Elephas maximus indicus: one gene and its partners. The protein of the gene in region 3 interacts with the protein of the main gene of each other region in a biochemical or structural test. Links are inferred from orthologs where the notes say so. Each region holds a gene or a part of one and is shown on either strand. Other genes may lie near its edges. The genes, in order: SHC2, HSPG2 and KDR.

Evidence for each region.
Region 1: the proteins of KDR (region 3) and SHC2 form a complex in vitro, tested with the Homo sapiens proteins (2 studies listed by BioGRID). The link is inferred for Elephas maximus indicus from reciprocal best matches to the Homo sapiens genes KDR and SHC2.
Region 2: the proteins of KDR (region 3) and HSPG2 form a complex in vitro, tested with the Homo sapiens proteins (2 studies listed by IntAct). The link is inferred for Elephas maximus indicus from reciprocal best matches to the Homo sapiens genes KDR and HSPG2.

What each region holds. Positions count from the first base shown.
Region 1 is NC_064821.1:236,162-243,423, forward strand, and holds the start of SHC2 (SHC-transforming protein 2), read right to left. Parts: upstream 3,055-7,262; 5' UTR 2,979-3,054; coding exon 2,499-2,978; intron 1-2,498. UniProt on the Homo sapiens protein: Signaling adapter that couples activated growth factor receptors to signaling pathway in neurons. Involved in the signal transduction pathways of neurotrophin-activated Trk receptors in cortical neurons.
Region 2 is NC_064821.1:62,192,515-62,200,464, forward strand, and holds the start of HSPG2 (basement membrane-specific heparan sulfate proteoglycan core protein), read right to left. Parts: upstream 3,042-7,950; 5' UTR 2,957-3,041; coding exon 2,891-2,956; intron 1-2,890. UniProt on the Homo sapiens protein: Integral component of basement membranes. Component of the glomerular basement membrane (GBM), responsible for the fixed negative electrostatic membrane charge, and which provides a barrier which is both size- and charge-selective.
Region 3 is NC_064823.1:106,202,185-106,209,778, forward strand, and holds the start of KDR (vascular endothelial growth factor receptor 2), read left to right. Parts: upstream 1-4,575; 5' UTR 4,576-4,882; coding exon 4,883-4,949; intron 4,950-7,594. UniProt on the Homo sapiens protein: Tyrosine-protein kinase that acts as a cell-surface receptor for VEGFA, VEGFC and VEGFD. Plays an essential role in the regulation of angiogenesis, vascular development, vascular permeability, and embryonic hematopoiesis.

The DNA of each region.
Region 1 (7,262 bases), on a different chromosome or scaffold from region 3:
ATGTATGAAGACTTCCTTCCTTCTACTCGCTGGGCAGTATTTCATGGTCTGTATGTAGCACGTTTTCATCATCCATTCATCTGTTGATGGGCATTTAGGTAAATGTAAATTTTAACTGAAATTAAATAAAATTAAAAATTCCTTCTGGAAAAGGCAAAACCATAGAGACAATGAAAAGATTAGTGGTTGCTAGGGGGTCAGAGGGAGGGGGAGGGATGAGTGCATGGAGCACAGGGCATTTTTAGGGCAGTGAAACTATTCTGTCTATTACTGCCGTGGGTGACTTAGGACATGTATCTGCCAAAACCCATAGCACTGCACAACACCAAGAGGGAACCCTCATGGAAACTGCGAGTTTAGTTAATAATACTGTATTATTGGCTCCTCATTTGTAACAATGTATTACAGGAATGTAAGATGGCCTTAAGAGAAATAGTAGAAAATGGGGAGGGGCATATGGGAATTCTGTATTTTCTGCGGAATTTTTTTCTGTAACCTAAAACTGCTCTCGGCAGGAGAGCTGTGGGATGCAGACCCCAAATTCTCCTAAAGAGACCAGGCTTAATGGTCCGACTGAGACTAGAAGGACCCCGGTGGTCATGGTCCCCAGACCTTCTGTTAGCCCAGGACAGGAACCATTCCCAAAGCCAGCTCTTCAGACAGGGACTGGACTAGACTACGGGATAGAAAATGATACTGGTGAACAGTGAGCTTCTTGGCTCAAGTAGACATGTGAGACTATGTTGGCATCTCCTGTCTGAAGCGGAGATGAGAGGGCAGAGGGGGTCAGAAGCTGGCCGGATGGACATGAAAAGAGAGAGTGGAGGGAAGGAGTGTGCTGTCTCATTAGGGGGAGAGCAATTAGGCATATATAGCAAGGTGTATAAAAATTTTTCTGTGAGAGCCTGACTAGATTTGTAAACTTTCACTTAAAGCACAACAAAAAATTTTTTAAAACTGCTCTCAGAAATAATCTATTCCATGACGGAATATATGTAGTTCAGTGACAGTGATATATATATATCACAATTTAAAAAAAAAAGTCTATTAAAAAGAAAAAAAAGTTAATTCCATTCCTCAGTCATATTAGCCACATTTCAAGTGCTGGATGGCCATGCATGGCTGGTGAGGATGACCAGATCAGAGCGCGCAAATACAGAACATTTAATCAGTGCAGAAAGTTCGTTTGGACAGTGCTGGTCTGGACCCCTGGTCGGCAAACTACAGCTCTTGCTGCCTTTTTTTGCTAATAAAGTCTTATGGGGCTGTGGCTGTGCCCTTTCATTGCACACTGTCCACAACAGCTTTCACCAAAAGTAGGGCTGAGGTCTCAGGACAGAGACCTCCTGGCCTGCATAGCTGAAAATATTGGCTCTTTGGCTCTTTACAGGAAAAGGTTGCAAGGATCCTGGACACCCAAAAAGTCAAGGTCATGGGAGGGTGTAAGCCGTGTTCAGGGACTGTTCTATAGAGAGAGCAAAGAGACATAACAACCAAGTGTAAACATGGTTGGTCCTGGCCCCAGAGAGCTAGCCCGGGGAGATGTGAACACAACCTCAGGTTCCAAGCCATTCTGGAATCACTAATCATTTTTCTAGATGTGATCTGGGGCTGTGGGTGTGTGGGAGACACGAAGGTGTTTACAGGTGTGCCACCGTGGGCGGAGTCCCTGGGTGCTGCAAACAGTGAAGGCCATAGCTGCCAACTGAAAGTCAGCAGTTCAAGTCCACCAACAGCACCCTCAGGAGGAATTCCTGTCGATCCGCTTCCAAAACCTTAGTCACTGAAAACCCTATGAAGCACAGTTCTCTGACACACGTGGGGTCTCCACGGCAAGCGGCACTAGTGGGCAGCTCGCTTTCTAATGGTTTATCAACGGCTATTATGTACAGGAGTCGATATACTGAGCGGAGAGCGCAAAACTCGAAGAGTCCCAGGTGGAGGACACGGGGATCCACTGATTCGGCTTTTCTGTCTGCGTGAAAAGGTTCCCAGTAACACTGGGATAATGAACAAAGGCCGGTGTCTCTCAAGTCTCAGCTCCCCCGGCGGTCTGGCTGGGCATCGGCCCCTTTCCAGATACCCCTTCTCCCACGAGTCCACACCCCCATCCCAGGCCACGGTCTCAACGATCCGATCATCTGCCTTGGAGCCTTTAGGGGCGGTCTGGGCGTTCCTCTCCCGGGGACACAGCAGTGCACCCTGGGGTCCTCACTCCTGGACTTTCCCTCCCTGCCGAAATAGGGGTGCTACCCTGCGCATGCGCGTCCCCCTCCCACCTGCCCTCTCCCCGCCCCTCCCCACGTGACGCCGTGGGAACCTGGGCCCCAGCGTCTCCCCGGCTGGAGATGGGGGTCCGAGTGATGGGGAGAGGAGGGAGGATGGAGCGGGGAGTCGGGTTCTTGGGGTCCGAGGGATGCCAATGAAAGGAAGTGGGGTAGCCCCAGTACCCGAGGCCCGGGGAGGCCGCGACCGCGGGTCCTGGTCTGCGCACTCACCCGCACGATGTAGGAGACCCCGGGCCCCAGGACCCGGGCATCCGGGTGCAGCCAGCCGTGCGCCGGCTTGTGGATGAAGCTGCCCTTGCGGATCCATTCCGCCGCAGAATCCGGGGGGCCCGCCGCTCCCTGCGCGCCCCGCGACCCCCGCGCCCCCGCCGCCCGACAGCGGCTCAGTGCTGGCAGGGGACACTGCGCGGCACAACGCGGCTCGCAGGCGCCCAGGACCGCGGCCGCCAGCGCCGGAACGCCCGCCGAGCCCGCCGCCTCCGGCTGCGGTTCCGCGTCCCCCGCGTCCCCCGCGCCCCCCGCTGCCACCGCCGCCCGCGGCGCCGGGGGCCCGCGACCCAGGAAGCCACCGGGGGCAGCAAACTTCCACTGGGGCATACGCGGCAGCAGCGCGCAGAAGGTGGTGGGCGCCTCGGGCTCGGGGGGCGCGGGGGGCGCCGGGGGCGCGCGCCCGCCCGGACCCTGCGTCATGGCCGCGGCCGCTGAGCGAGCCCGACCGGGCGTTGAGCCTGGCCAAGGAGGCCGCCGGCTCCCGCCCGCTGCCGCCAGTCCCTCCCCGCCCCCGGCCCGGTGATGTCATCCGCCCGGCCCAGCGCGCAGCCGCGGGGGGCTGCACCCCTGGGACCCCGGCCCTCTGCTCCGCAGCGCCCGGGGAAACTGAGGCCCGCCTAGGGCTCGGGCGTTGGCCCGCATTCGGCAGCCGGGGAAAGGAGGGTCCAAGGGATACCAAGGAAAGGAAGTGGGGTAGCCCTAGCACCCCCCGCCGCCCACGTTCCTAAAAGGGCAGGGCTGGAAGACCCCATTCTTCCCCTGTTGACCTATGGGAAAACTGGGACCTGGCGAGGAGCGGAGGTGCAGTCCGGGGAAGAGAGAGCCGAGTAGTCTAACGTCAGCCCCCTCCCTGACCACTGTTCAGGCCGAAAGGTGCCTAGAAATCCCTCCCTGCTTCGTTTCCTAGGGGGGAAACTGAGTCCTAGAGAGAGGAAGGGGCGCGCCCAAGGTCACGCAGCTGAGGCTCACACCCGGAGGGCCGGGCTTGGGCCTGCTGGGTCAAGGAGGAGCACTCAGAGGGCCGGGTCCCTCCTCCGCCCCATCCCTGGGCCTCGGGCTGTGGGTCACAGCCCCTGCTCGCCCCATTTCCGGGGAGCTCTGTCAGGCATCAGCTCAGCGGAACCCTCGGGCCTCAGGGACCCTCAGTTCTCCGCCCCGCCCTCCAGGCTTATTTTTTGCACTAGGGAAGGGGGTGTCACTGTCACCCCAGGACCCAGCTTCCTGGCCCCTTATCTTCGCCGGACCCCCTTCTGCCCCACCCCCCATAAGGGCTGACTGCCGGGAAACAAAAGGAGGCGACCGGCGCTGGGGCAGGTGGTGAGCGAGGGAGAGAGAGCCGAGCCGAGCAGATCGATAAATCAGAGCGATGAGATCACAGCCCGGCACCGCCCTCGGACCCAGGGGAGGAGGAGGCAGCGCCGGAGGGCAGGGGGAGGCAGTGGGGGCGAAGGGAGGGGGGAGGCGGTGAGGGGTGTAGGAGAAGACAGCAAGGGGAGGGGGAGGCGTGGGGAGGACACCGGGGGGCCATAGGGGGCCGGTGGGACCGGGAGGCGCGCGCTGCCCCGATTGGCGGCTGAGGGCGTCGCGGCTGGTGCCCCAGACTCTGGCGTCTGTGTTCAACCAGGGGCCGAAGGCCGGTGGGTGGAGGGCGTCTGCTCTTTCTGACGGCCAGGGGTCCTGGGCGTGGATGTCTGTGTCCGGGCCCCACATCTAACGTGTGTGCTTCGTGTCAGTATTGGGGGGCTATGTAAAAGTGGATCGCAGGAGGGTTGCGGTGTGTGGGGACGTGTGTGTACAGTGTGGACAGGTGTGGACAGGTGTGAATGAGGCCATGCATGTGTGGAGGGGGTCCGTGTGTGTGTCAGTGTCTGTGTGGAGGGGGTCCCTGTGTGTCAGTGTCTGAGTGGGGGGACCAGTGTGTGTGTCTAGCAAAGGATTGTGTGTTCAGGCGTGCCAGCCCCCAGCTTGGGGGGGGGGAAGGGGTAAGGAAAAGGCTGACACCCACCATGCTCCCTTGGGGTCCCACCTGCAACACTGCCCTTGGAGCTGCCTCCTCCAGGCCCATGGGTGGGGGGCTCACAGAGGGTTTGGTGACATGCCACCAACCCATGTATTTCCTTCCTCTCCCTAGGAAAGAGTGGCAGGAATGGAGCCTGATGGCCAGGGTTCAAACCTTGCCATCAGAGTGATATGGGGGGGGGGGTCGAGTCCCAGGTTGTTCTCCTCCCAGAGTGCCCTTGGACAAATGTCCCGTCTCTCTAAAGCTTCATTTCTCTCTGTAAACATCACCTGCCTCCCAAGTTGCTATGAAATTTAGATGACCTTGATCAACATCTGGAAACCCTGGTGGTGTGGTCGTTAAGAGCTATGGCTGCTAACCAAAAGGTTGGCAGTTCGAATCCACCAATCGCTCCTTGGAAACTCTATGGGGTAGTTTTACTCTGCCCTTTAGGTCACTATGAGTCGGAATCAACTCAATAGCCACAGGTTTGTTTTTGTTATCAATATCTGGTACATATCTGGCAGCTATCAGGATACATTGAGCTCCTACACATCCTTCAAAACGCAGCTTCAATGCCCCTTCTTCCAGGAAGCCTGCCTGGCTTTCCCACTCAAAGCCCTGGCTCCACCTCTGGCCCCCCAGCCCCAGGTCCCTCCCCTAGTCCCACCCGGACCCCCCAGGGCTAGACAGTCAGGGTCTGGCTCTGGGGGACAGTGTCCAGGTCTCCTCCCTATGACATGGGGATGTACATGTGTGATGCTGACCATTATTGGTGCCAAGCAGCGATTTATTGACAGGCAACTCTAGATGGTGGGTGGACAGGGGCATCGGGGCTGCTTCCAGCCTGATTGGGGCTTAACCCAGGACAGGCACCTTGCTTCCAGGAGGCTGAGAGAAGAGCCCAAGTTTGGTGGAAACCGGAGCTGCATCAGGGATCCAGGCCCTAGGGGGCAGACGCAGAGTTCTAGGACACAGGAAACTCATTCCCCGCCAGCAGCTGGGGAGGGCTGGGTGTCCCTTTCCCCACCTGGCCTGGCCTGGTGTGACCAGGAGAAGAAACTGGGGCGGTGGAAGGAGGCTCACCCTGCAACCCATGCAGGGCCTCGGGGTCACAGCCCCCAGGGACTGACAGAGGATGGTGACCTAGAAGGGCCTCGGACAATTCAGAAAAGGGGGGGGCAGAGGCGGCTTTCCCTGGGCCCCTCCTGTGGCTTCTCTGAGCCTTCTCCAGACAAAGCCAGGACCCACCCATACCCCACTTTACTGCGGGGGAAACCAAGGCTTGTCTGGATGCAGTAGCAAGCACCCTGCAGCCATGGGCTGTCAGGGTGTGGTGTTCCCAGCCACGGTGACAGCCCGCTTGGAGTGACGGATGCCCATGGTGAAGGCTGGGGCCCTGGCCTTGTGCACTGTGACCTGCTCTGGGCTGTGGGTGCCAGGGCCTGGCGTTGTGTCAGGCAGGCGTGGTGCGCGAGGCCGCCCCAGCATGGTGAAGGCTGGCCGGCGGTGCTGGTAGGCATTGGGGTCGGGGATGTCATACTGCCCCGGGCCTGGTATCTCCGCCGGGTCCTGTGAGGGGCGGATAGGGGGTGTGCGGCCCACCACTGTGTAGCTGGGGCTGCTAGGCTTAATGAAGACCTGGGAGCCCCAGAGGGAGGGCAGGGTGTAGGCATTGGGGGCAGGGGCCGAGGTGTCCAGTGGCTGCGGGCAGAGGCGGGGGCCCAGCGTGAAAGCCGGTGGCGTCCGCTGGCGCACGGGGGGCACCTTCTCCGGGCTGTAGGCGCCTGGGCCTGGCGTCACCTCCAGACCTGTGGGAGGACTGCAGAGTGGGCACTGCAGAGGCCCCTATCTCTTCCCTCCCTCCCGGACCTCCAGACACATGGTCCATTCTCCTTCAGGTCCCCCAGCCTCTGCAAGGCTCAAATTCCCCCCATCTCCGCCACCTTGATGCCCTCCCTCCAGGCACCCCCTCCTGGGTCCCCCTGCCCTGGTCCGCCCTCCCTCCAGACATGACCACGGAGAGACACGGTGGTCCTCGTCTGGGTCTAGGTCCACCGCCAGGCTGGAATCTCATAAAAAGCAAGGACATAGTTAACCAACCTCAGCTCCTCACAGTTGGCTGAACACATGTTTGCTTGTGTGGACACATGAGTAGATGGATGGTGAGTGGGTGGCTGAGAGAGCAGCGAATGGATGGATGGATTGAGTCCACGGACGGAGAGGTGGATCAGTTGGTGGGTGGAAGGAAAGATGGTTGGATGGACGGACGGACGGACGGACGGATGGACGGACTGATGGATCAATGGGTGGGTGGAATAACAGATGGGATGATGGATGGCTGGATGATGGATGGATGGATGGATGGACAGATGGACGGATGGATGGACGGACTGATGGATCAATGGGTGGGTGGAATGGCGGATGTGATGATGGATGGCTGGATGATGGCTGGATGATGGATGGATGGATGGACGGACGGATGGACGGACTGATGGATCAATGGGTGGGTGGAATAACAGATGGGATGATGGATGGATGGATGGATGGATGGATGGATGGATGGATGGATGGATGGATGGATGGATGGATGGATGGATGGATGGATGGATGGATGGATGGATGGATGGATGGATGGATGCATGGATGCATGGATGGATGCATGGATGGATGGATGGACGGACGGATGGACAGACTGATGGATC
Region 2 (7,950 bases), on a different chromosome or scaffold from region 3:
TCTTCCCACCCCGCCACTCTGCTCACATGACTTCCAAGTCCTGAACCCAATCAGTCACCTTCTGCTGCCCTCCTTCCGTCCCTCTCCTGGGCCGGGCCTCAGACCCACAGATGCTGACTTGCCTGTGCTCAGCCTGAGAACAGGCCCAGGCCAAGCCAGGCGGGGTCCAAGCCAGGCGGGGGCCACAACTCCCCTACACAGGAGAAGGAGGCTCCACCTCTGCCCCTTCCAGCCTCGGCCTCCCTCCCCAGACTGGGAATCCCCGGAGTACACTCAACTCCTTCCCAGTGGGTCTGGAGAAAGGGGGCAGGGTCAGGGGACAGCTATGTCAATGGAAGGGCTGAGGTAACTCTGCAACCCACTGAGGAGCAGCCAGGAAGGAATGGCTCCTCCAGTTCCCGGCCTGCAGTCTCCCCAGCTGAGGCAGGAAACAGGTATCTCAGTGACTTCCCTCCTCAGCCCTGGGAAATACCGTAATCACTGTGGCCTCCTCAAAAGTTCTCTCTCCTGGCAGCGTTGGCCCCAAGAAAGGAAGGGCTAAGGCCCCAGCAGGAAGAAAAGGGTCAGCAGGCCAAGGCAGGCCTTTAGTCACCCAGGCTCAGCCCCTTCCCCCAGCAGGCTCCCCACCTCCTCTGAACTTACTCCCTCACTTAATCACAGACAACTGTTTCCTGCAGTCCTGTCTCCTGTTCCTGGTGAGGTCCTGAGCTCCCTAAGGACCATCTTACCCTCTGCTTGTGTCCTACCCACACCCAACCCACTACTGGCTGGCAGACATGAACTGGAAGGCAGAAGAGATAAAAGGCAGCAGGCAAGGAGGAGCTCAAGGCTTACTGGGGCACTGACCTAGGAACCTAATCTCACTTATGACTCACAACAAACTTCTTGCTCCCATTTTACAGGTGAGGAAACTGAAGCTCAGAAAGAAGAACTTGTCCCTGGTCACACAGCTGGTAAATGGCAGAGCTGTTAGGCTATGAGCTCTTTGCAGTCTACCACCATCAGCTTGGAGCGGGAGAAAGAGTGAAGACATCGGTCAATGTGGTTGCTGAGGAGGTCTACAGCCCCACAGGATCAGAGGTGTCTGTGATCAGAGCTCCCAACTATGGCCCACGAGCCTGTGAGTTCTGGGAAAGCATAGACAGGGCCTGTTCTTACTCACCAGTGTAACCCCAGCCTGGTGTCTGGTGCACAGTAGGTGCTTGGCAAATAGCTATCGAATAAATGAACAGCTGTACTCCCAGTCACCGCCATGGAATGTCGCTCAATGAAGACTTGTTGAATGAACAAGTGAATGAGACGGTTGGCTGCAGTTCGGGAATCAGAACCCCCTACGTGGAAATTCCTCACATATAGAGCAAACAGCCCCCACACCCTCCCCATTCCTGCCACTGTAAAGCCTGTGCTATGTAGCCAGGAGCCCCTCACTAGGGGGCAGAGCAGGGGGAAGGTCAGGAAAGGAAGAATGGAGGGCTGTTAAAGACATCCTATGTGCTGGGGGACTGAAGGTTCTGTGGGGCCTTGGGGAAACAAAAAATCAGTGTTGGGAGTGGCATGTTCAGATGGGAACAACTGGATGTGTCCAGGTGAAAGGCTGAGACAGGGCATTAAGGCGACTGCCCAGATTGGGAGTGGAGGAGGTACTAGGTGGATGGGGCAAGTGGGGTGAGGGGTCAGGCCTGGGGTGGGGGGTTAACGAGTGACTCAGGAGGGCAGAGGTGAAATGAAGCCATCAAGGCAAGAAAGGGAGTCACTGGTGGCCACCGATTCAGTCACTGGGTAAACACTGGCCCAGTAGAAAAGTCCCTCTGCAGGCTCCAAGGACAGCAGGGTGGAGGCAGGGACCGACCGTGACCACCTCAAAGGGGTTTGGGACAGCTCTATGGCTCACTGTGCTGGGCAAGCCCAGCTCCCCAGATGTGCTCCCACCCACATCTGCCACTAGCTCCCTGCCCACTGACCGTGCCCCACCCTCCTCAAGTTCACTGAGGTCCTCCTGGGGCCTCTCCTGGCCAAGCACCTTCTAGGCTGTGGGATTCCTGAGCCCAGGATTCTCTCTTCCTTGAATGGGCCCATCCAAGCTCTGAGCAAGGCTCCCCCACTCTGCACCTTGCGGACCTAGGAAAAGGAAAGCTGAGGAAACTCAGATCCACCGGGGGTCCACTGCACACCAGGCCCACACCGGGCACTTTCACTTACATTCCATCCAATCCTCCCAGCCACCCTGAGGCTATGCACTTTGAGGCTATGCATTTCCAGTTCCCTGTACACAGGGAGCCGGCCTCAGACAGGTTGATTAGCTTCCCCAGGTCACACAGCTACTCAGGGCACTGCAGGGATTCAACTCCTGAGCTGTTCTGACTCCAGGGTCAGAACACAAGCCTCAGATCTGTCCCCAACGGTTCTTTAATTGCCCCTGCGCTGGTACAATCTCCCCAACGGGAGAGATGGCAAGGTAAAGGTCAAGTGAGGCTTGATAGGGTCCCTATCACCACTGAGTGCCCCTTCTGCCAAGTTGGCGCAGAAGGGGGTGCCCTGGTCCTGCCAAGTTCCCACCCTGCTCGAACTTTCTTCTCCTGGTCCCCAGAAATGGCAGGCCAGGCCACCATGCCCAGCGCAACTCGGAGACTCGGCAACGTGGCCCGAGGACCCACAAGCTCCCACTCGGGTCGGTCTTGCCCCCAGCCCCACGCAGGGTTCCCTGAGCACCCTCCGGGGCAGTCCCCACTGCACAGGAGGGCGCCAGCCTGGGCCGGCCGGGGATCCCTGGCGGGCGCCGCCTTCCTGAGTTGGAGTCCCGGCCACGCAGCCTCGGGCGCCCCCGCCAACTTGGTGAGCTCGGCGAGCTGGCCCCGTGGCGCCCCCCAACCCCTCCGCTCCGAGCACTCACCGCTAGCAGCTGTCCATGCAGCAGCAGCAGCGCCAGCAGCAGAGCGCCCGCCGCCCGCCGCCCCATGGCCCGGCCCGCTCAGCTCGCTATCTCCTCCGCGCTCGCCGGCCTGCTGAGTCCTCAGGACAGCGCGGCGCGGCCCGGCCCGGCCCGCTCCCTACCTCTCCCGCCCCTCTCCGCCCGGCCCCGCCCACGCTGCCGCCCGCCCCGCCCCCGGGCCCCTAGGCCCCGCCCCGGACCGCCCCCGGGCCGCCGGCTTAGCTCGTCCAAGCCGGCAGCGCAGCCAACTGGGCCTTTGTCTGGGCCCCCAGCCCCCGCCCCGCGGGCCGCAGCCCAATCCGGCTCTCCGCCAAACCCGGCCTGGAGTTTCGGGTGGGACGGGGGCCCTGAGGCTCGAGGGGCGCCAGAGCCCTGAGCGCGGGACCGCTCCCTCCTTCCACTCGCACCCCCTCCCGCATGCTCACCTGCACATGCGACAGGGCCCCACCAACTTTCAGACAACTAAAACCCGCTCTCACACCCTTTCACACTCCACAAGACGTGATTCCACACACAGGCCACTTCAAGAACTGCGAACGCACGCAGGCGCACGCAGACACACGAGCACACACACGCAACTTTCGCACACATCACGCACACCCGACACCCACGAGCAGCTTTCACCTGGACAGTTTCATACACACCCACGCAGACTTTGACAACACGTTCACACCCACAACTTTCACGCATTAGCGCACTCGTACGAGACCCATGAACACTCCACAGACAAACTTTCACACTGTTGCACTCACCTTTGATATACTAAAAACTTTCCTCACAGGTTCACGTGACACTATCTCTTTACAACTTTCACAGACTCAAGCCCTCACCTATACAGGTTCAGCCATTCACATTCGATTCACGTTTTTACACACAGACTCACATAGGTCAATCCCAACAAGGCAGGAAGAATAAAGACAAATTTTCACACACGAATTCCTCACAGAGGCTCACAGTTCCCACATAGGCCCATGTAGTTTCTCACGTCCATATCAGTCTGTAGTTTTTACATTTTCTTACACAAATTACAGTGCCTTACAGGGGCACTCAATACTCACTGAGCTCACTGAATGCCCACTACCCGCACCACCATCCACGTAAACCACTCATAGACCAATTCTAACTCACATAACACCCCAGAGCCAGAGATACACCAACATACACACCCAAGGCCCGGACACGGACAGACCCTGCCAAAGCCCCAGTCACGGATGCTTGAGTACTAAATCACAGCCCCGGATGATCCACCTCTGACCCAAGCTCACAGGCAGCACAGACCATGCCCGCGGGCCTTAACACTGCCTACTCTCAGGTCTTTTCTGCCTGAAAATTTCCAGGGCAGCCCCAGGCTAATAGGTGGAGAAAAAAACTGTTGTGTGTATGTTTCTTGAAGCTTTGAGGAAAACCTTTGAGTAATGATAAAGGGAGGAGAATAAAAACTGAATTTTCCATTGTTTCTTCCATGAGTTGCTAGGTTCCAGAGACTCAGGACTGGGTCTGCAGCCAGGAGTGAGGTGAGCTGTGGATAGAAACAAATGCCCGCACTAACAGGGCGGCACCAGGCCTGGCTCCGGAAGGCGTGTTCTCTGCGATAGGGTCCTGTGGGCTCCCAGACATTCTGGGGCCTTCCACCAGGGCACCTGGGACATTGAAAAAATGCTTGCATCTGACTCCTGTCCCAGCCAGATGTCCCATCTCCAAAACTCTGGGTTCTTCTCTGCCCTGTGGGGCACACTGTTGGGGGTCCAACTCAGAGCTGTGAGGGGCAATAACTACATCTGCACTGGTTCAGTCAACTCCCTGGCCCCAACCCAGACCTCAGGCACAGCAGCAATGAATAAAGCCTATCTCTGCTTCAGACAGGGAGATAGGGGTGATCAGGGGAGGGAAGGACGTCCAGCCTCTGCTCTCAGATGGGGAAAAAGGACATAGTCTCTGTTCTCATGGAGTTCTCAGTCTGATAGAGAATCTCAGCTTTATCACCTACTACCTGCTTAATCTTGAGTAAATTATTCAACTTCTCAAAGTCTCAGTTTCTTCATCTAGAAAATGAGGATAAAGTTAAGACCTCCTTCATGGTGTTGTTATGAGGATTAAGATGAATTTATATATATGAACCAAAAACCAAACCCAGTGCTGTTGAGTTGATTCCAACTCATAGCAACCCTATGGGACAGAGTAGAACTGCCCCAAAGAGTTTCCAAGGAGGCCTGGTGGATTCGAACTGCCGACCTCTTGGTTAGCAGCCGTAGCACTTAACCAGTATGTCACCAGTGTTGTTCCCAATCTGATGGTGAAATGCAGTCCCCATGCCAAGGGTCTGTAGTCTGATAGAAGGTGACAGCTTTGCACTTGGGAACTCCCTGTCTGATGAGGAAGGCTTCAAAGCTCCACTGACTTCAGGCTTGGCAGGTGGCCAACCCCAGTGGCAGGATTTTTCCAAGGCTTTGCCTGTCCGTGGAGGCTCAGCATCCATGACAAATCACGTTTCGTGAGCTGTCTTGGGTTTGTTCCCCACCTCGGGCCCTTTAAGTCCTAGAGCTTTGGCTTCTTGGATGATTTGCTCATGAGCAAAGGGGAAAAGGAGAACAAGCAACCCTTTGTAGATGTTTGGTCAAGGCTAAGCCAGAGCTATAAGTCTGCTTCCTAAAAGAGTTTGAGGAAAGAGAGTGTAGGCTGACTGGGGACTGGAAGGAGCTGGGCTGACGCGGAGGGCAGGAAAATATGCCCTGTCTAGAAAAGTCTTACAGAGCAACTCCACCCTACCCCACCCCTGAGGATTGGTCATCCACCTATTTATTCTGCATCCTCTCCCTCCCTCCTAAGAGATTTGGCTGGGTCTGTTTTATTTTGCAGTCCCTGATATCTTTAGTCACGCTCTCAAGTTGCTTTGTCTAGGCCTTAGCTATCTCCTCATATGGCATGGAAGAGGCACAGAGGCAGAGCTCCTGGGCTTTCCGTAATTGTACTGTATGTACTCACAGCTCAGGGTGCTCCTCACCCTCTTTCAAAGAGAAGCCACTCAAGTCTCACACAAGGTTCTTTGAGTAACGAGGGGCTGCATGAGTGGGTAGGCAGGGATGGCCCACCAACCTGAGAAACAGGAGCTGGGGAACTTCTGGAACCAGCAGCAGGGATTTGTGGTTCATCTGTCCGTCCCTCCAAAACTGAGAGGACCCAGCTCTTCCTGGCTTCTGTTCCCACTCTGAATCTTTTCTCTGCCTCAGAGTTTCTGCTCACTCATCTTACTTATGTTCCTTTGTTTATTCATTTGTCCATTCAGGGTTGCGGTGGACGATTGAGCAGGTTGTTCACTGAGCTAGGGGTACACAGCCAAGTGGCCAAGTAGGGGCTGCAAAGCACCCTGGCAGATGCAATGCTACATCTGCCCACAGGGGGTGCCTTTTGTTAATATGCACAAAGGCTCTGTATGGCCTAGCAGCTGGTGCTCCTGCATTCATTCAATAATGAAATTAAATACCTACTAAGTGCTTTTAAGTGCAAGGGCTTCAAGGCTTGTGTGGAAAATAGATGTTGGCAGAGTGAGGATCTATGTTTTTGGATGGAACAGGAAATTGGTGTGAAAAGGAATTGGAATGGAGGAAAGGAAACAAGGAGATGGGGCTGGAAAGAAGAGGAAGAGGAAGAAGGAGACAGTTCTAAGCAAGCACTGAAAGTTTCCGTGAAAGGGAAGGACCCCACGAGACCCGGCAAGATCCAGCCCTGTACACCTCTCCAGCCACGTCCCTCCCCGACATGGTCTTTGCAGGTGCTGTTCCTTCTCCTAGAATATTCTTCCCACCCAACGCTGCCCCCCACCCGTCACCCTACTTCTCTCCTTCAGGATTCAGCTCAAGCGTTCCATCTCCAGAGAACCTTCCTTGACCTCCCAGGCTAGGTCATGTCCCCTGCTACACTTTCCCACAGTTCCTTTGCTTCCCGCTCTTCACATTTTGACAACTGTAATAATTTGGAATATCATTTAATCTTATGAGGCATGATGAAGGCAGGGAGTCCATCTGTCTTGTTTCTGTCTTGTTCTCAACTATGTCCCCCGTGATGAGCACAGTGCCTGGCACAAAGTTGACACTCAAATAATTTTTACTTGAATGGAAGAATGAGCTGGTTCAAGCATGGCATAAGGCTTAAATGTAATGTCCCTCTCCTGGCTTGTACAGCGAGACTTGTGAGAGCTGGAACTCAACGGTACTGCCCTGTTTTTCTGGTTCTCGAAAGTTTTCTGCCTTTTCCCGCTTGCAGCCTTACCACTTTTCTATCGCTTGTTTTAGTGGAAAATATTTGAGTTTTCCCTACCTGACAGGTTTCCCTCTTAAACAGATTCTGGCTTTCACAGGTTTTACTGTATTTTCTGTATTTATGGATAACTTTGAGAAGAATGAGAATTCCAGAACACTTAACTGTGCACATGAGGAACCTGTACATACACCAGGAGGCAGTCATTTGAACAGAACAAGGGAATACTGCATGGTTTAAAGTCAGGAAAGGTGTACATCAAGGTTGTATCCTTTCACCATACTTATTCAATCTGTATGGTGAGCAAATAATCCGAGAAGCTGGACTATATGAAGAAGAACACAGCATCAGGAATGGAGGAAGACTCATTAACAACCTGCGTTATGCAGATGACACAACCTTCCTTGCTGAAAGTGAAGAGGACTTAAAGCACTTACTGATGAAGGTCAAAGACCACAGCCTTCTGTATGGATTACACCTCAACATAAAGAAAACAAAAATCCTCACAGCTGGATCAATTAGCAACACCATGATGAACTGAGAAAAGGTTGGAGTTGTCAAGGATTTCACTTTACTTGGATCCACAATTAACTCCACGCTTTTTTTTTTTTAAGCAGAAGTCAAGAAATCAAACGGCGTGTTGCATTGGGCAAAATCTGCTGCAAACTATTACGAGCCCAAGAGACAGAAAGGGCCACATGAACCAGCGACTACATCATCCTGAGACCAGAAGAATTAGATGGTGCCCGGCTATAACCGATGACAGC
Region 3 (7,594 bases):
CTTATTTCAATATCTGTATGTCAAAGAATGATGGGACATACTTTTGAACAGTTATTTATTTATTTTTAAGTTATGGTAAATGTATAGGTAACAAAATGCCATTTCAACAATCTTCACATGTACAGTTCAGTGACATTAATTACGTTCAGCATATTGTTCAGCCATCACCATGAACAGCTGATATTCTTAAAGTTGAAAGCAATTTTCAAATTAGAGGGTATGTTTGGAAGGCATAATCAGCCAGCCAATTAAAGACCTTTTAACAAGTACTGTTGAGTGATATTATCAATACCACCATGATTATAACGTATTTTACAGTTTACAGAGCACTTTCATGAGGTTGTCTCATTGGAGTCTCATAATAATCCTTGAGGGAGGGTAGGCAAGAGTTATTACTCTCACTTACCAGTGAGGAAGCCAGGGGCCTATCTAGGGAAAATAACACCTATGGCAATTGGTTTTAAATTGCTGAACCATCTCTCACAGCTGGCAATGGAAACTTCCATGGCCAACAGAAACTGCTCATTAGCGCCCCTCCTTAAGTGGCGCCCAGGGCACTGCCCAACGTGCCATATCTTAGTTGTGCCTCAGCTCGGGAATCTGATGCCTACAGTGATGGAAAGATTAACTCAGTGTCATTCTAAATCTGTGTATTAACCACAGCAAGACTCTGACAGTGGAGTGAATAGTAAAATGAACCCTTCAGGTCCATCATTCAGCTTCCACAATTATTAACCTTTTGCTTATCTTCATATTTACTTTTTAAGATTTGAAGTCTAAAATACTGGTGATGGTGATGGAACCAAATTCAGGGGTCATGAGGTGTAATTTATGTGCTTTGGTGATATGAGCAATATATATTCCGTGTGCACAACCCCAGTTCCTAGTACATAGTGATGCTCAAAAACTGTTATTGAATGATTGAGCCTTACTGCAGTTTAGAGGTAGGCAGCGTGAAGTAGACCATGCATTGTAGTATAACTAACCTTTGCAAAATACTTCTTGAGGTGTATCAGGTGCTTATGTGTAGGGTCCTATGCTTACCAGGTGCTAGGTCCTATTCTCAGTGACTTGCATGTAGTAATTCATTCAATTCTTAGAAGAACTCTGTGGAGAAGGTATATTATCATCTTTTGTGTTCTGTAGATAAGCAACCAGTAAATTGGTCAAGCCCCCATGGATAGTAAGTGGTAAGTTGACAGTCAAACACAAGCAGTGTAGGCCTACAGTTTGCGTGCTTAGCTACTGCCCTTCACTGCTCCTCTGAAGGTGTGTGTCTGAACGCCATCACTGAACACTCTTGAGACACTGTGCTAGATGGTGGCCATACCTGCACTGCCAGACTAATTCACAAAGTCACTCTTTTGCAGTGGTGCCAGATAACAGGAGAGCTTTGCACATGGAACACTTTTTTTTTTTTTTTTTTTAACAGACTCTCATTTTTCAAGAACACAAGGCCCTTCTAAGTGCTGTGTGGGAGGGAATGTGGTAGATTGATTTCATTGAGACCCTGCCAATTTCTGGTCCTGTGGCCATCAAAGATGCATCACTTCCTCCAAGACATCGAAACGGGGCTATTACCAAGGGCCTGCAGGTTCTGGTTTGCATTTGGAGGAGGAGACACTATCTTCTTACTTGAGATCTGGAAGAGGAAGTGTCCTGAATTGTAAATAAGGCTGAGAGAGAATTGTCTAAAGATGGAGATGGAGAAAAATTGCCTTCACCAAACCACATTCCACCTCCCTCTTCCTCATCCAACTCTGCCAGAGCCCATCTGTTTTACTTCTTAAATTTGCTAGCAGGAGGAGAGGTGTTTCTTTAAGGACCTTCCCCAGTAAAAAAAACACTCCTCAACAACACTTCCTAGATAAATATCTGTAGAGTAGGACATCATGCCACCGTTAAAAAGAATGAAATGGCGCTCTGAGGGTTGAGTGATGTAGAGTGCTCACCAATGTATATATTAAAGTGAAAAAAGCCAAGATTCAAACAACAGTTCTATCAAGGCCGCCATTTGTGAAAAAGGAAGATGATTACTCTGCGTATAAGGGCATAGAACTTGCTTGGAAAAAGGGAACTGGTAAAAATTCTTGCCTCTGTTGAAGAAAGGTTTTTTTGTTTTTTTTTTTAAAGGTCTTTTTACTATAAACTTTTTCGTATTTTTGGAAAAAAATTTACCCATATGCATTTATTATACTTAAAAAAGAGTTAAAATACTTCATTTATCAAGTTGGAAAAGTAGAAGAGTAAAGAAATGTATTTTTTAAATAGCAGAAGAAAAGCAACACCTGATGATGATTGTGTATTTCCAGAGGAGGGTTTTGGACTAAATGTAGGGTTAAATTCTTCCTCTTCATCCTGCTGAAGGGATAGTTCTTTCAGCTGCTATGAAAACACGCTTGCATGCACCTTGGAAGTAAAAGACAGAGGGATTTGAGAGACTCCTATTTAATGAAGTTAGGGGACATGTGATGATTTAATGAAGTTAAGGGACAATTGATGTCACTCCCTGGATGTAAAGAGAAATAAAGAGAAAACAAGAAGAAAGAAATATGGTCATGAAAAAATGCTAGTTTCTCTACAAACAGCACCACAAGTAGTCTACATTCATGGAAAGAGTGGTGAGGTCTGGTCACTGGGTGTTCTGGGTGCCTAGGATATGGGAGTTTTTGCTTCATTGCTCAGCCTCAGGTTGTCTGGGCAGGAACTTCAGACTCTGAAAAGGGGCCTGGCTAACAGTGGTATCACTAGGGTTGGTGTTACTCAGTGTGGTAACTCATGGTGCTGCCCCACCCCGTGGACCTCCTCCAGTACCAGACCATACAGAATTCTTAGTAATGTTATGGGGCCTTGATGGCACAGTGGTTAAGCTTTGGCTGCAAATCAAAAGGTGGCAGTTTGAATCCACCAGCTGCTCACTGGAAATTGTGTGGGGCAGTTCTACTAATACTATTCATAAATCGTAATTCCCATATATCACTGAATGTAATAGCAATAGTAGTGATATAAACAAGTAGGAAAATTAAAATGACACCTTTAACACCTTTAAGTTACAGTTTTCTATCATACGCACAGCCTAAATGTATTTACATTTCACTTGGTTCAAGTGAAAATTCAGTAAGGAAACAATAGAATTCGAAGTAAAAATATTTAAGAACTACATCAAAATCACGTTCATTTTAACATTAAACTTTACGTGAGATACATTAGTGGATTAGGTTTGGAAAGCGAGGCAGAGCGAGCCAAGAATTGACCGAGCGGTTTCTGCTCTTATGTTATATGTCTTATGTCCTCTCTGCTCCTCACCATCCAGGTTGGTACTGGCGACGTTTTTGGTGTTTTTAAGTCTGATTAGTTTTCCCCACTTGGGTTTTAAAAAATTTTAAATAAAACTCTGCTGTCTTGGAGGGTTTCTACCGGCTGGAAGGCCCCAGGACATGCGCCCCCTCCCCTGCCATGAGGGAGAGAGGGAAGCAGTTCTCCAAGATGAACTGCTCAGTCCAGGGCTCCAGAGGACCGGGCTTTTTGGAATGTAGTTGGGAGTCTTACAGCTCTTGGGCTGTGCCCGGGTTTTCCGAGCTCCTCTAAAAAAAAAAAAACAAACTTTTTTTATAGAGGAGGTGTATGTGTGCGCGCGACTGTGTGCGTGTTCCGCGGCGCCGCTCGGCGCGGGGGAGGCCCACGCGCCCACGGCCGGCTCCGGGGGAGGTTGGTGCCACCGCCTCTGACAGTGTCACCTGGTGCGGTCCGCAACCCCTGCACCCCTTTAGTGAAGCCACTGCTGGCTAAGAGTCCAAGTAGAGTCAGGCTGGGTGCTCCTTGTCCAGTAACACCGGACACAAAAGGCCTTTCTTGAGAGTCTCATGCCAGGGACGGAGGCCACTCACGCAGCGGGTACGCAAGAGCCCGGGATACCTTCAGCTCCCTGAAGCCCTGCTTTAAGCTTTTGGCTAGGAGCTAGGCAGAAGTCGCAAATTTGAAAGCCTTCTGGGGCTAAGCAGATAAGTTCAAAATATTTGAAGCCGCGTGAACTTTCGGGAACTGGGGAACTGTATTTTCAGACTGAGACATTCAGAGTCAGATTTTCAAAGTACAACTGTGCTGGCCAAACAAAACACTCGTAGTGTCTACGTTCACTGCGGGTTTGCGACCCCGCAGACGTCTCGGCTCAGTATCTGCTTCTCCCTGGTTGCTCCTCCAACCTAATCCCGCATACAGTTTAGACGCGGCGCACCCCTTGCTGCATTTCCGGTGATATTTCTCGTATCTCGGGGACCGGCAGCCGACTGAACCTTGGAATGGTTCAGAGCCCTTTACCGGCTACATTTTATTTCCACCAGAAACTAAGTTGTTGCGCCCGGAGCGCTGCACCCGGGCCGACTCGGGGCCGGGCGCATCCCGGGCAGGTGTAGAGGTGAGGAGATGTAGTGCATGTTGTAGGAGCGGGATCCAGGCCCCGGAGTCCCGGGAACACCCAGTTCGGCCGGGTGAGGGGCGGGACCTGTGGCCCAGGGGAGTCCCGCCCGCAGCCCCGCCTCACCTCGCCCCGCCTCAGCGCTCTAGAGTGTCTGCCTGGTTCCTACTCGGCAGTGAGTCCGGGGACCCCGGGCGAGAGGAGGTGTGCTGACGCTGCCTTTCCTCTGCCACGGGCATCATTTGCTCCCTGTAGAAGGCCCAGAGCCGGTCCCTCAGCCGAGATCTCCTCTCAGACAAGCGCCCGCAGACGCCTCTCCAGCAACTGCCGGGCCGGGGCACCCTCGCCCTGCGCGCTCCGGGTTGCTGCGCTGAGGCACGCGTCTCGCCTTCACGCCTTCTTCGCCAGGCAAGCCCTCCGGGAACGCGCGTCTGAGTTTTGGGCACTGCGCCCGGCGTGAAGTGCAGGATGGAAAGCAAGGCGCTCCTAGCCATCGCTCTGTGGCTGTGCATGGAGAGCCGGGCTGCCTCCGGGGGTAAGAAGCCCACTCCTTGGGAGGGAGGCGGACAGGTTGGGTGCGCACGGAGAGATCCAGATTGTGGAGGACATGGCGGCCCGATATAACTTCGAATCTTAGAGCTGGAGAGTTGGAAAGGACTTGACGCTTAGTGCTGTTTAATTAACCATTGGGGAAATTGAGGCTCGGAGACTGACCTCCCAGCGAGTCGGTGGTCTACTGAGTTCTAACACGATGCCTTTTCTACGGCTCTGGTCTCTGACAGGCGCCTCGACTGGAGAGTGTCCTGCGAGCCAGCCGACGCACGCTCGGGCTCCCGGAGGCGGGGATAGGAAGGCGCCCAGGGCAGGCGTGCAGGAGGTGCCCCGCAGGCGGGGAACAGGCGGTGAAAAGTCTTAAGGGCTGGGCGCACTATTTTAGTCCGGGTGCAGACAGGCAGCTCCTCCGCTGGGAATGAAGCCCTGCAAGGAGCGTAAGCCTGGTGTCCCAGGGCGTCCAGTGCACTCAGCTCTACTTCCGCTAGAGTGGAGCGGGGATCCCGGCCAGCGTTCCCTCTTGGTCTGAACTGACAAGCACAACCACAAAGAGATGGCATCCAGTGAGAGGGAACCTTTTTTTTTTCCCCCCTTTCCTTGGTGCAGGGCGCCTCTTTCCTCGCAGAGAAAAAACAGAGAAGGTAGGGGAAATTGGGACTTGGCCCTGGGGCTGTGACAGGTTTCCCGAATGTCTCTAAGTGACAGTCACCTTTCAAGGTAAAACAGTGTTAACGTTTTTTAAAGCGGCTTTGTCCTTGCGGTAAGCGCATAGTCAGAAGTTCGCCCTGAAGACCAGGTCTGCCGGACTTCATACCCAGTTTTAGCGCCACTTGCGACTTCCCTTGCCACCTAACATTGCGGTCTCCTTTAAGATTAGGAACACAAACGCTCTTAGTGCCATAACTTTTTTTTTTTTTTTTTTAACGTTTCCCAGATAACATTCCTTCTCCGTAGCCATAATTTACTGATTTCCAGATTACGTGAGGTTGGAGGGGGAAAAAAGTCAAATGTTTAGGAAAATTATTTTTTATTATTTTGAAAGAAAAGAATCACGTGTCTTAAGACTTTTCTACTCACTTACAGTAGCAAGATCATCTGTCTAGAGTTATTGAATTTTCTGAATAAAGACTTGGTTCACCAGGCCCTGCTCCACCCTGGACACTCATTCGACCCTGACAAGGGCCCTCTCTCTCCCTTCATGGGCAGAGAATGAATGTCTGGAACATGTGGTTGTTCTGTATCCCACAAAGAAGTGAGTCGCTTTTAAGCCTGGGGTGTTTCATAGCGCAGCGGTAGTAATGGTAATAGAGTTGCCCTGAATAATGGTGAGGTTGCCCTTTTGGAGTATGTGGCTTAATTAATTGGATTGAGCTATAATTGGTGCCATCCAATTCTAGAGACAGAGACACTGTTGTTTTTCCTTCCTGTGTTTGAGCTGGAAGGGGTAATAGTGCACAAACTAATTAATATTGGTTATGGAACTTGAACATAGCAGGCCTTGTTATGGAGTAGAAGGATATGTATCTTTTATAGTCATTTCTTCAGAACTTTCTGAAGAGTAGAGCTCAAATTTGCCAATAAAAATGTATGAAGCTTAACGGAGGAAAAAAAAATTGAGCCTTGGCCGAAAGATGATGAATTTGAAGTTATCATTATTGATAGCTTGTTGAATAGATTTTTGTCGTAGATTTGTCTGTAGAACAGTATTGTGTTGTCTTGGCTTCCTATGAATGGGGAACACATCTTTTTTATGTTTAATTTTTACATAGCAAAGTGTGTCTAGAGTGTGGAATGATTTGTGGCAATAATTTGGAGAGATCTTAAAGAATCTTTTATTTTGGTGATGGTGGAAGCATAGCTTATTTTAAGCCTAGTCATTTACTACCATTTTGCTCTCACGTGAATGTGCCCAAATAATGACTTATTTCTCATTTGGATCATTGTGTGAGTTGTAGTAAGTTTCTGCTTTCAACGTGTTTTTCAACCTGCTGTTTCCCAGTGAAGTCTGAAATCTATGCTCACACAAGTGAATTTTCATTCTCCTTTTCTTAGGCAAAGTGCGACTCCATTATTGAAAGGCATTTCTTTTACTTTTCCACATTTTGCTTTATTGCTTGCATTCTTTGGGGGCAGTTAATTTCTTCATATTGAAACATGGTGTGCTAGCTAATTAACTGAATATGACAAACCAGACCAATAGCTGTCCAAGAGTGGCCCTTAGACCATCTATGTCAGAGTCACCTGAAATCCTTGCTAAAATGCATTTTCACAGGCCTAAGGATAGCCTGACACATCCTAGGATTTAAGAACCACTGCCTCAAACACAGCATGTCAGTACCAGTGACAGTTTCTGAGGCTTATTGATGTAATTAATTTCCATTTTTTTTTGACTGTGTTATTGATGAGTAACTATGTGGGTGTGTGAGAACATGGGTGATCAGTTTGTTCATTTTGCCTGTAGTTATTCACGTTGGAGTCCACAGATTGGATGCACTGGATATTTGCTTATACTCTCTTTACTCATACTCTCTCTTACTTGCCCATATTTGCTCATACTCTTTATTTCCCCAGCAAGATCAATGCTAGTTTAGGTCCAGAGAGTCATTTGTTCTTAGTTGATGTGAGTTA